Linked DNA regions of Oryzias latipes. The protein of the gene in region 1 binds, or shares a complex with, the protein of each later gene. Links are inferred from orthologs where the notes say so. Each region holds a gene or a part of one and is shown in the gene's direction. Other genes may lie near its edges.

Evidence for each region. The genes of interacting proteins can lie anywhere in the genome.
Region 2: pigp (region 1) and dpm2 share a complex: the UniProt entries of both Homo sapiens proteins name them as parts of the glycosylphosphatidylinositol-N-acetylglucosaminyltransferase (GPI-GnT) complex. The link is inferred for Oryzias latipes from reciprocal best matches to the Homo sapiens genes PIGP and DPM2.

Annotation. Positions count from the first base shown.
Region 1 is NC_019877.2:8,246,086-8,252,705, reverse strand, and holds pigp (phosphatidylinositol N-acetylglucosaminyltransferase subunit P), read left to right. Parts: upstream 1-2,260; 5' UTR 2,261-2,516; intron 2,517-2,595; 5' UTR 2,596-2,598; coding exon 2,599-2,680; intron 2,681-3,676; coding exon 3,677-3,749; intron 3,750-3,862; coding exon 3,863-3,981; intron 3,982-4,298; coding exon 4,299-4,414; 3' UTR 4,415-4,896; downstream 4,897-6,620. Other genes in the region: rexo4 (RNA exonuclease 4), read right to left, coding at 927-1,073, 1,146-1,465, 1,579-1,794; putative nuclease HARBI1, read left to right, coding at 5,191-5,878. UniProt on the Homo sapiens protein: Part of the glycosylphosphatidylinositol-N-acetylglucosaminyltransferase (GPI-GnT) complex that catalyzes the transfer of N-acetylglucosamine from UDP-N-acetylglucosamine to phosphatidylinositol and participates in the first step of GPI biosynthesis.
Region 2 is NC_019870.2:30,338,710-30,345,190, forward strand, and holds dpm2 (dolichol phosphate-mannose biosynthesis regulatory protein), read left to right. Parts: upstream 1-2,038; 5' UTR 2,039-2,226; coding exon 2,227-2,325; intron 2,326-3,738; coding exon 3,739-3,828; intron 3,829-3,904; coding exon 3,905-4,007; intron 4,008-4,102; coding exon 4,103-4,158; 3' UTR 4,159-4,323; downstream 4,324-6,481. Other genes in the region: proteasome subunit beta type-7, read right to left, coding at 5,723-5,834, 5,948-6,099. UniProt on the Homo sapiens protein: Regulates the biosynthesis of dolichol phosphate-mannose. Regulatory subunit of the dolichol-phosphate mannose (DPM) synthase complex; essential for the ER localization and stable expression of DPM1.

The DNA of each region.
Region 1 (6,620 bases):
AAATCATTTTCTCTTTTGAGAGAAGTAAGAGAACATCTGATGTTATTGGGGTATAACTGACAACTATACCGATTTTTTCAAAAACTTGTTTAAAAAGGCAACGGCTGTTTTTCCAACTACTTCCACTTAGGGAGTCTGTTGGAGCCAGTCTGCTGCAGGTTGAGATGAGCATAAACTCTGCAACAGCTATGGCTGCATATTCATCAGGAAGCAATTGCGAAACAATCCGACGATTTTAAGACTCATACTTATGCCCAAAGAGAGCAACACACACGGGAAGTATCCCACTAGATTAAAGAGTTGCTAGGAATGGACTTTTTCAACACTTTTACACATCCGACCAAGAAAACAATGATGAAGAAGAGCAGCAGATGAGATTAAAACAATATACTATAATAATGATTGTTGAGCAAAAATTATCAAAAAATATCAGGACAAAAAGAAGGACTCCAAATTTGAAATATCTGGTTCTCTGTCAGCTTTAGGATCGATTTTAAGGTACTTTTCTTAGTTTAATGAAATTGCACTTTAATTTTAATCAAGCTGGTGTTAGCAGACGACCCTCCCAGAGCCCTCAGATCCAGTTATGCTGGTGCTCCCTGAGGTCATAAACAAAAACCCACAGCGAGGCCACATGGCAGAACTTTGGCCTAAACTCACCTTTTTAGTTTAGCTTTTATGTCGATTTTACATTTCCTCATGTTTTAATTTGATTTTATGGATTATTTTTTCCTGCTAGTTTTTGTACACAACATGTGTTTATTATAAATACTAATATAATTATTATTTATTTATGTAAAAGACTTTGAGGTGTTTTTTAACAGGAAAAGAGCTCTATAAAGAAAGGTGAATTTCAACTAGAGTTGATCGATAGCAAATGAAGGTGTGGCATTTTGACCGTAAGAACACAAAACAGTTTCTCTTACCCATCAAAGGCGTTCTCTTTTACCAGAACGCTATCTACGTTCTTGCTTGTTTTCATGCCTTGTTTCCTCCTCATGATCTCTGCAGCCTCGGCTCCCATCGTTTCCTCAATATCGTCAGGGTCGACGTCATCAAACCAAAGGTCCTCCCTACAGCAGCACAAGCAAAGATTACAAGGCAAACCCGAACTGAAGTCAAGTATTAGCAATAAGGATACATACTCTGTGGGTTTCCTCTCTTCAGTGACGGGCTTCTTTTTCTTGGCTGGTTTCTCATTGTCTGTCTTTTCGTTTTGCCTTTTCCTTGCACCACCAGGTTGCAGTTTGTCTAAGGCGGCGTGGATCTTTGCCTTCACCCCATCCTCCTTTGGGGCATCGCCACTTTTGACTTTTCCCTCTCTGTCTGTGTGCACCTGGCTGGGAGCAGGGCTCTTATTTTGAAACTTTTTAGGCTCATTTCCTTTAAACTTCTTAGGGAAGACACCATTCCGATGTTTTGGTGTAACAGGCTGCTTCTTCTCTGGCTGACTGCTCTTTAAGATCTGCCATGTTCAGGAAACAAAGAAGATAATTACATTTTAAAAGTAAATACATTTTCACATAAGTAGTTGCACAGCTTATGAAGAGCATAGAGTTTAATATTCGTCAGACAAACCTCTTGTAATGCTTTCCAGTTGGAAGAAAACTGTTGGGGATCCTGTGGTGGTGCAGTTTGCTTTGCTCCAGGATTTTCTAGATTTTTCTTGTTTAGAGTCTTTTGGGAAGTTTGTTTTTTACGATTATGCTTTATAAAAAACTTCTTCCTTTTTTCTTTGGACGTCAGCTGTTGCGTTTTTCCAGCAGGAGTTTCCTTTCCTTTGATTTTAGACATCGTGGTCGCACTTCTTTAAACTTCAGGGAGTATTTGCTGTGTTACACAGCCACGTTTTTGAAAGAAGCCAATTTTAGGTGAGATGTAAACGAAAACAGTTAACGCTGTGTCACATACATATGTATCCCAGATAAAGGGCACACACTGTTTCTATTAGCAAAAATAGCCACTTTATTATCCTCCCAAACAGGGAAAAATTATGTTTCAAGTTGTTTACCTTCACATTCACGAAGCCATGCTGCGGTGCTTCTGGAATGAGTAACAGTCAAATATGTTCGTCAGGAAAAAAGTAACATGATTCGTTCGAGCGGCAGAAAGTTCTCCCTTCGTTGATTTTTTTATTTCTTTCTTTTTTCAAGCTTGAAAATAGTTTTTAATATCTATACATTACTAACAAAGAACACAAGATTGATATGTAATTTTGCTTTATTTCTTTAAAGTCTTTTGTTCCTGATGTACAGTTTCTGACCGAACTCATTTAGGTGATGGACTAACGTTTTGTTGACAGCAGTCAGCTAGGTTTTGGCGTAATATGATTAGATGCACTTTTTACATTTTTATTTATGTTTCGTTTGAAATAGTAGAATTGGATTTTATCTATCGTTGAACCTAGCTGATGGTACGATATAAACAAGCTATTTGAGAAACATTTAAACTGTTTTTAGGGGTTTTTGTAAACTTGCTGCTCTTCTTACGAACCAAAATACACTTATTATCTGTCGGTAAGTTTAGTGACTTTTTGTCATTGTTTATTTTCGATTATTTTACCCAATAGATGGTCTGTTTGTGTTCTGGTTTCAGATCATGGTTGAAAACTCCCCATCACCTATGCCAGAGAGAGCAATCTATGGGTTTGTTCTCTTCCTTGGCTCCCAGTTTGGCTTCTGTAAGTTAAGTCCCATCACATCATGTTCTTTCAAATTAGAAGCATAGTTCTATTTGCAGAAGATGTCATTCAACGTAAAATGTTGTGGAATTACTTATCTCTACGGCTCTTGGTAATATAGCAAAGACATTCTGTTCCTTTTGTTTATGTTGCCATAAATCTAATCTCATTGAAATTTGTAAATGTGCAGGACGACTCACTTGAGTTAAAATAGAATAACCGTTTCTCGGTGGAGATTTAAATCTCCTTACTACTAGGGTGATAAATAGTTGACCACCTGAAAAACAGACTGCCATTAATTCAATGTGACTTCACTTAAAAAAAACAAGCCTTTTTGGATTTTTTTCTCAATAGAATTCTTTCAATAATTAGTTTTTTTTAAGTTATTTATATCTCAAGGTATACATTAGTAAAAGGTTATTGTGTTTATATATATTTTTAAAAATTCAGCTGAAAGATGGCAGGATGGTAGTGACTTAAATATTGTAAATTACTTTAAAACGCTAGTTGTGTGTTGTTGTTGTTTTGGGTAAAAAGTAGGATTTTTTTAATAGGCCTGTTATGTTCATATTTAGGCTTAAAACTACACAATTTAATAAGTCGGCAAAATTGTATTAAGCCAAATGAAGAAGTCTTGTTTAACTTTTAAATTGGATTGTCTTTTTCTCATTTAAAAGAAAATTCTTCTAATAATCCCAATAATTCTAAAAAGATTTCAATTTGGAATATCACATAACTCTGTTGCTTATAAATGAATATTTACACTTTCCTCAAAGGTTGTCTTTTTTATTGGTTGGATGGTCTTTCTGTATGAAAAAGCATCAGATTTAAAAATAAATTGAAATGAAAGGACATATGTTTATACATAAATGTAAGATAATGTAACAGAACAGAAGTAAAAATAGTTCGTGAACAATTTGAAAAAAAAGTCTATCCTAAAAGAGTATCAAAGAATTCTCTTAATAAAATATGTTTGTTCTGTTTCTTTTCCCAAAGTTCTGTACTGCTTGTGGGCATACATACCAGAGGAATGGCTTCATTCTATAGGGCTCACTTATTGGCCTCAAAAGTAAGTAGCAACAATATGACAAGTTAGAATTTATGTTTTATGTCTTTTTACAATGAGATTACCCTAGGCTTGTTAGCCTTTGTTTGAATCTTAAAGTGAAATGTTTGATGCAGGTATTGGGCTCTCGCAGTGCCAATATATATGCTGGTGGCAATACTGGTGTTTGTTGTGGTGTTATTTGGGGTCAACATGAGCAACACAGCCCCACTGGACTCTGTGGACAACATCACAGGTGAGTTTATGGCTGCAGGCTAACAGTCAGCGTAAATCACAGAAAAGCTGTTTGAAGTGAAATTATATTGAATTTTAAAAAAAGGAAGTAAAATCACTGCTAGGAGTAATACAACCGAACTAGCTTTAACATGCGCTAATTGCAGCTGCATTTTTCTAAAAAAGGAACTGTACCTCACATAATAAAAGCATATACTTTTAAAATAAATGAATACAAATAAGGGTGAGTAATTTATGTCAAAAAGGTCGGATATTATGTCAAAATTAAGAAAACACCACCAAGAAAACAGCTTTAAGTGTCTTCTTTGTGTCTTTTAGATATTTATGCACTAAAGCAGAGTGAAGAATGCCTGCAGAAGGGGGGAATACCTCGAATAAAGGATGTCTCCATCAGTGATGTCAACAAAATGTTTTATTTATCACCCAAAACATAACAGTCTGCTGCTGGGTGTTTTGTGGTTTCTCTGTTCATTTATTAATAATCTGGGGGAACCTTTCTGATGGTGTAATATGCCAAATCTGTTCGCTTTTGCAAATTTGTATGCAAAGTTAACAGGTCTGGTTAGTGGGTTTGTATGTAACTTTTGCACTGTGACTTTGCTATTTACCTTTTAAATTTTTTTTCTTAATTGATCAAGATGTTTCCATCATACCAATAAGAAAATATCACTTAAATATGTTCATTTACAGTATGTTTCAGTGCATTAAAGATGAGGTATTTTTCCACAAGATAAACTCAACTTTTGTTATTTTAGACAAAATAGATAAAGTTTCAAAGCTGAACCAAGTTGTGTTTATAGTTTCTGGCTAAACATAAAATAATATATATACTGTATATCTTGTTGTTTCATTGTTGCCTTTGTATTTTTGTACAATTCAAAGATGACAAAAGTGCATAAAAGATATTTTAAAAAAAGATTGGGGGTCCTATTTCCCTCCTTTTCTGTTTACACTTCATTTTATTACAAATAAGGAGATTTTTTGGTGTTTCATTTTGAAAATTGTCCTGTGTGTCATTTATTGTTATTGGCACAAAGATCTTTAAATGTACAGCAGGGGGCAGTAGTGAGTTTGGTGCTGCGTTTTGTTAACTTTATTGATAGACGAAGAAAAGCAATAACAGGGTGCTGCTCCTCTTCCAAGTATTCCACATTTTTGTTGTTTAGTTTTGTGCTTATTGTCTTCAAATACACGTTCCAAACAAACAAAAATGACGTTTGCTGTTCCGGTGTGGCTGGCGGTGCACGAGCTTCTCCTGGAAGAAGAAGCGGCGGAGAAGGAGAACTCGACCTGTTTTGACGAATTCAACGACGCCGCTTTGTTCGAATACTTCCACCTCACGCGGCCCTGCATCGCTTTCATCGTCGACGCCGTTCGAATCCGCATGAAAACGGTCTCCTGCAAGAAACCCTCGCCTCCGGTGGACGCGTTCGTCATGGTGGCTCTTAACTACTTCGCGCATGGCGCGTTCAGCCCGCTCGTGGTGCAGAAAGTGGGCTCGTGCCTGCACGCCAGCCTCACGAGCGTCGCCAGCTCAGCATCGGGGGTCATCGCGGGGATGTCGGACGTGTTCATCTCTTTCCCTCTCACCGCGGAAGCCAGGATTCAAAACGCCGCCGTCATTAAAGAGTTCTGCAAAATCCCCAACGTCCTGGGAGCCATGGCTCCTGCCCAGTTTAAGATCAGGGCTTCTCCGTATGAGAAGGAGTTCTTTAAGTCCTTCATCAACGCGCAGGGCTTCACGTCGGTGGTGAGCCAGTTCATATGCGATTCCCAGGGCAACATCCTGAGTGTGGAGAAATGCTGCGTAGGGAGCACTTCGGAGCAGGAACTCTGGGAGTCCTCATTCAAAGGCAGGGAGGTGGAGGAGGATCTGCACGGACCGTACTGGTTAATCGGTAAGACAATATGAGGAAGCACTTCTTTAAAGTCTGAATCACAGCTGATGCCCCCTAAAGAGATTCCAGCAAATATACACATCCCAAAACAAACTGTTTATTGAACTCTCTCTCTAATAATACCTCAATTATGCACCAAGTGCTCCTCTAAAGAATAAAAATGTCTAAAAGGAAAATCTTTAAAAAAGCAATAGTTTGTATTCAAACAGTGGAAAGATGGAGCTCAGTAACAGGATGTAAACCGTTGGATCGTTTGACCTTCAAAAACCTCAGCGATGTCCACATGAAGGATGGATCCTCTCCCAGGACGAACAGGCGACGCACCTGAACTAACTCTACAGCTTCATGTTTGAATAGTCCAGTGGATGGGCTCCATCCAGGTGGAGTTGGGGGACGGCTTGGGGCACGAGACGAGCCAACAATACAACCATAGCTGTCTCAATGGGCTTCATTGTACGATAAAAATAAAATCATAAAGAACATGAAGTCATAGAATTCAATAGGTTATAGCTGAACTAAACCAAACAGACTGGGCTAGATTCAACTATAGAGGAGAAATTGTGTATTCTCATAAATCGCTTTTCTACCTGCCTCAAAGGCCCAAAGCGCTGTACAGTCACAAACCCATTCACACACTGATGGCGGCTCCGCTGCCGAGCACTGGCACCAACCTTCCACCAGAGGCAAGGTGGTGTTCAGTGTCTTGCCCAAGGACACTTCATCACGTGGTTGAGGAAGGCGG
Region 2 (6,481 bases), on another chromosome or scaffold:
CCTGTCACCTGACCTGTAGGCTGCATCCCGAGCTTTGAGCAAAGACCGCACTGTTCCATCAAACCATGGTTTCTGGTTTGGGTAGACTTTGATGGACTTTGTGGGCAGAACAGCATCGGTGCAGAACAGCACATAGCTCAGGACGGATGTTGTGTAGGCCTCCAGGTCTGAGCCATCTTTAAACACCTCCCAGTCAGTGAGTTCAAAACAGTCCTGTAGTGCAGAAGAAGCCTCTTCGGTCCATACCTGAACTGTTTTGATGGTTGGTTTGGTCCTGCAGATCAGAGGTCTGTATGTGGGGGTTAGCTCCACAGAGATGTGATCCGACATGCCCAGGTGAGGAGCTGCTGCAGCCTTGTATGCACCTGGGATGTTGCAGTAGACTTGATCCAGTGTGTTGTTGTCTCTGGTGGGAAAGTGAATAAACTTCTGAAATTTGATGGATGGATGGATATATGGATGGATGGGTGGCAGTGGCTCAGGCAGATGAGCAGGTCGTCCAATGATCGAAGGGTCGTTGGTTCGATCCCCTCTCCCCCCAGCCAACTGTCGTGTCTTTGGGGAAGACGCTTCACCCTCCCTGCCTCCACTGGTGCATGAATGTGCATGAATGTCCTGGTGATGGTCAGAGGGGCCGTAGGCGCCAACTGTCAGCCACGCCTCTGTCCGTCTGCCCCAGGGCAGCTGAGGCTACATCAGTAGTTACCATCACCAAGTATGAATGAATGATGGACTCACTGTTAACGCTTTGAGCGTCTGGAAAAGCAGATCAATCCATTATTATTTAGTCTTAAGTATTTAAATAAAAAGTAGGGTAACATTGACGTAGAGCAACTGTCAACTGTCAACTGGCTATGTTTTGACTATCTTATTCAGATTCATTTCTCCACGCAGGTCAGTTCTTGCTTTACCAAACTGACTTGGATGGTTCATTTTTCAGACGAGTGAATTCTGCTGGCAGGATCAACCCGGTAGCCCCAGGAGTTGGCAGTAGGGCGGGCCAACCCAGGCCAGGCCTCAACTAGGGCAACAGTTCTGGATTGTGTTTCTATAGTTTTTTTACTCTAATTAAATAATGAGTGATGAGCAAATACTTAGTGGTCAAATGTCTTTACCGTCAGATCTGTAGTTTGTTCTTAATGAATGATCTTTTTCAGCAGCAAAGAGCATTTATCACTGCAGGAACATGAATGCATCAGTGTCTGCAACATTTGCTCTTGTTTGCACACCAACTAGCTGGTCTAAACATTGGGACTGCATTGTAAATTAAAAACATGTATTTTAAAATCTTTGAACTCAAAAGCAACTTTTCTGAACTGTATCGCTGAACTATGTATTTATTTAGCGGAATGTCGACACTTAAGCTCTCTGAAAATGTATTTGTTTATTTTTTTAAACAAATCTTTGTTCTTGATGATCTACTTTCTGACCTGGATTAAAAAAAAAGGTTCATCATGTACGGATTTCTGTTTCTTAGAGATTTGTTATGAAAGTATTGGATAGTTTTTATTTCATTATTTTGAATGTGGATGAGCGGGTTCTACTGGTAGGAGTGTTTACCAGTAACTACCATTTCTTTAGTTTAATCAAAAAAGTGATGACTCATATCACTGCAGAAGCGTTGTCCGGTCCATGACTCCTGGATGGTCCGGTCCATAAGTCCAGGGAATAATGTAGCTTTGCCTGAGGATGACCACCATGACTAAAGCCGATCTCTTGGAGCCAGATTGTCGTGTTGAAGTGGGTTAGTGCAGAAAATGGATTTATGGAATATGAACGTTCCTGTGAGACTCCAGCATGAATCTCAACACAAATCCTAAAGTCATAAAAAATATTCCTTTCCAAATGGCCAGGATGTCGAAACGCCAACTGTTTGCTGCTTCAGGAATCCCACAAGACAGAAAATGTAAAAAACAACAAAATCAGGCGGGACGTTTTTCTATTTGTCATGTTACTCCAGACCAGCAGGGGGCGGTCACGGGACTTTCTCCTGCAGCTGCAGCCGGACATAAACCAACCGGAAAAACGGAGGTCACGTGGTTCTACCGCCTGTCAACAATGGTGAGCGGCGTTTAAGTAATTTATTTTATAGGAAATCCCTTTACAAACATGATTTTACGGGGATAAACAGTCGCAGTGGTTTGACCTTTACAGGCCGCCGTCATGAAGAATTGTGCCTAAAAGCAGGTTGAAGTTTCGCGTTGAGCTCTTGACGCTTAAGGCTTAATGACGATCCGCGGGTCCCTAACCGGGTCCCTAACCGGCCTTCAGAAGAACGACAGGAATGTTTTCTCCTCACGGGAATGCGGACAAAACGGACGTTTGGTCTCTGACATTTTTATTCACCGCACATGAAAAAACGCTGAGATTGAAGCCGCAGCTGTAGTCAGTTTGGCCTTTTTCATTGTATTTATTTACTCTGAAGTTAGAAGAACATCCCACAGAAACTTTACCCAATGAGTTCTATCACTAGAGGAGACACACCCGCTTGGGAAGCCTGGCCGACGGTGGCGGAGCGCGACGCCATCTTGGTGAGGTCGTCAGCGCCCACGTGACAATGATTTCTATTGCCTTTAGTGGCATCTAGTAGCTTTTATATATATTTATACCTATATATAAATATATATGTATATCATTTATGTATATGCATCATTTGTTTTTAAATAAGAGAAACAGGCAGCATTAAAAGCTCAAACTTTAATGAAAAATGCAGAGTTGCAGGACTTCTTACAAAAAAAATTATTACAAAGAATTTTTAAAAATAATTTTTAAACATGTAGAAGTTTTAGACCTCTTTGAAACGTAATTTAAATTATTTAGAAAAGCCCAACAATAAGTCAATAGGAAGCCAATAATAATAATGAATAATAACAATATATACATAAGTCAATAATTATAATAATAATAAATAGTAATTCAATAATAATAATAAATTATAAGAATAAATCAATAATAAGTCAACAATAAGTCCAAAAGTCAATAACAGATTTACCCTGAAAAAACAAAGAGAAACAATAGATTAACTGATTCATGTTAGTGATCAGTTTGTGTAACACAGATTCCTTGGTGTCGGGTTTCAGGCTAACATTCTGGCCTCTCATCAAAGTCTGGTTCCACAAATGTTCTGAACATATCCAGACTGTATCACTAGTTGGTACCACAGTGATCCATCTGGGTTAGCTCTTTTTATTGCTAAGATCCACTTTTTCCTGAAGTCTGAATCTATTAGAAACCTGCAAGAAAAGTTCAGTCTGAGTCAGAAATGTATAAATCTATATTATTATAATAGCCTAGTCCTAGTATACTGTATATAGGTTTAACACAATAAAGTTTACATTTATGTCGACAGCAAATTCTCCGTACATCATGCAGCATGTTGATAACAGCCCTGCAGCATCATGCATGTCTACATGTGTTCTATTCATGAAGCCCCTCCAGCATTAAAAGAAAAACATTAAAATACTTACCTGTGAAATGTTCTGCCTTCCTGCTTCGTGGACTAATTTCCTCGATTTTGACAGTTGAAATCCGCACAATGAACTGGGATTTTGAGTTCACATGCTGAACTGCAGCAGTGACTTGACCTCACCAAGATGGCGGTGCTCTCCTCCCATGAAGAATCCCATGACGTCTCCTCTAGCGATAGAACTCATTGACTTTAACTGCTGCGGCACCCGCAGTCTGAGACCCGGTCCAAAGCTGGGTCACTGATGAACTTTTTCTGCTCTTGGTTTTCAGGCCACTGGAGTGGATCAGGCTGTCGGCATGGGTCTGGTTCTGTTCAGCCTGGCTCTGTTTTCGTACTACTCTGTGTGGGTCGTGGTTCTGGTACGTCCTGATGGAGCCTCTTAAATATCTGTAGGACAAAGGTGGACTCTAATACTGTGATTTGCACCAATTGCAGCCGTTCATGGACGGTGACCACATGCTGCAGCAGTACTTCCTTCCTCGTGAGTACTCTGTCATCCTGCCGGGCATTGCAGCAGTGGTTTTGCTCCTCATGATAGGTCAGTATGCCGTCTCATGACCTCATGACCCCGCTGTCTACACGTCTTCATGCCAGACGGACGCGGTGATCCTCTGGTTTTTGTCTTCTCTGCAGGGGCTTTCACAGCAGCTGTTGTGTGGATGAATCACAAGCCAAAGAAAGTGGATTAGTCCCACTTTCCATGGGAAAATGGAACTTTATAAAGTCACATGGATTCATTTTCCTCCTCTGGGAATCTTTTTGACAGAACATGTGCTTGGTGTTGTGGGTATGAGTGCTGGCTGTGAGTGAAGTCTGGGTTTCAAACTGAAAAATAAACCTTTTCACATAGATCACCCCGTCCTACAGATGTTTTAATGGTTGCCAAGCATTCTGCTGACCTCCATGATGCTGGGAGTCACTCGTTTTCAGTATCTACACTGTGTGGAGGCAGCATTTGTACACCAGATGAGTACGGTGGGTGGAGTCTTTAGGTGTTTCAAAAGTCTGAATACTTTTGTCATTTCTCACTAGTTTGGACTTTAACCCTCCTGATGGGCTGGATTCTTGTCTTGCTCCATGTTACCTAACTGTTTTCTCTACATCAATAAAATCACAAATTAAAATAGTAGAAAATCGGTTTCAACCATTGACTGTATAGAGAACTGGACTGATCGAGGGTGAGCCACCCGTAGAAAACACCTAACCCCCAGCTCCAGCTAAAGGAACCCGATTCAGTCGCCGTTTTTCCTCGATACGGTTGCGCCATGTTGGAGCCAGACGACAGTGGTTGGTGCGAGTGGTCGTTTCTATGGCAACTACTGTCGCCAATCAGAAGTAAGCTTGTTTGAAGTCCACACCCCTTCAGCTCAGGACCTGAAAGCAGCTCAGGAAAATCTGTCAAACGTTAGAGGTGGGGGGCAGCAGGCACCACAAGCTCTTACTGAGGGATCTGATTGGTCAGCTGAGATCTTGAATAAAGAAAGCAAATGAGGATTATTAAGAATATATTAACAAAAGGTATCAGATCCAGAACGCTTCTTCTGACCAATAGAATGACTGAGGAACATCTGGTCATTTCTATAGACATGTACGGGATTCTGGTTTCTTGGAACCAGCAGATACTTCCTGTTTGGAACGCCAGGGGGAGGGGCGTGCCCAGTCCAGGTCTCCATACACAGTCACTGGTTAACTCTTGTTCTATCCTAGGCACTTTACCATTGGGAGTTGGGTCATCTAGACCCACTAGACAGAGCTCTGAACCTTTTTTCTTCAATGATTTGTGATCTTCACTGGTGTCCATGGATTACATGAAATCTTTCCACCTTTATCCACCTTTGTCATGGTAGGGGGAACACGTCAATGGAAGGGGGGGTCATCTAAGCACAGGGGTTACGGCCTCACACCCTCATATCTAGAGCCGCCCACCGACACACCCAGAATCCATGAACAAAACCCGTAACTGTAACTTCAACACTTTTCACAGTATTTTTCAACTGTTTTGATTTTATTTGACTTCAGCGAAACAAACATGTTCAAATGTGCGAACAGAAGGATTCATACTGCGGCTCCTACTCTCCTCATGGAACGGATCAAGCATTTCACTTTGCGTGTTCCATTGGTCATGCTAACACAGATCCGTTAGATACTGCTGAGGACGAATGCCGGTAAGAAAAGGAGGTGATCAAATGTGAGCCATGTTCTTGCATGTACGGACGTCGTTGCATATTTGAACATGCCGGATGTAGACATTTTTTATTCAGTGTCCATCATCTGAACAGTTGCGTCGACCACGTCCAGACTGAGAGGAGTTTGGGTTTTGGTCAGGACAGGCGTAGTTCCCGGCTTGTACCTGTACTGTCCCTCTCTGAAAAACACAAGCAAGACACGTTTGCAGACACAGCACTGTTGAGTTTCAAACCCTTCTGCGGTAACCATAGCAACCACTTCTTCAATCATGAGGGCTCTAACTGTACCAACCTTTTCCCCTTCCCTGCTGGCCTGTCGTAACCTCGTAGGTACTCTGCTCCGGCCGCGGTGATGACGCACAAATCCACGTTGCTGCCCGAGCCCAAATCACAGAAGATCCCGGCAGTGATGGCGTCTCTTACCAGCCTCTTCGCTTCATCCAGCTTCATAGAAAAGAGATCACAGCAGCAGTGTTGATCCAAAAGTCCACCAGGACAAAGAGTCCATGACGGGACAGAACCGGTGCTGTCCCCACCAAACTAAACGTCAAAAGATTCAGGAAAAGAAAGGGTTTGGCTCAAATCCTCCTCAAAGAGACCCACTGGCAGACGGAGCATCGTTTGATCCCGACCCCTCCTCCTGAGGGCGTCATGTCAGAGTCCCGCTGGTGGTGGGATTTTCCTCTGCAGTGAGCCTCATGGAGCTCACGGTTTGTCTGCTTCCTGTTCACAGCCGCTGCATCTTTTAGCTTTCCTGCTCGTCCTCCACTCACTGTTTTAGATGTGGCTCTTTCTGTGCATCTGCTGTGAATCCCCCCCATGAGCT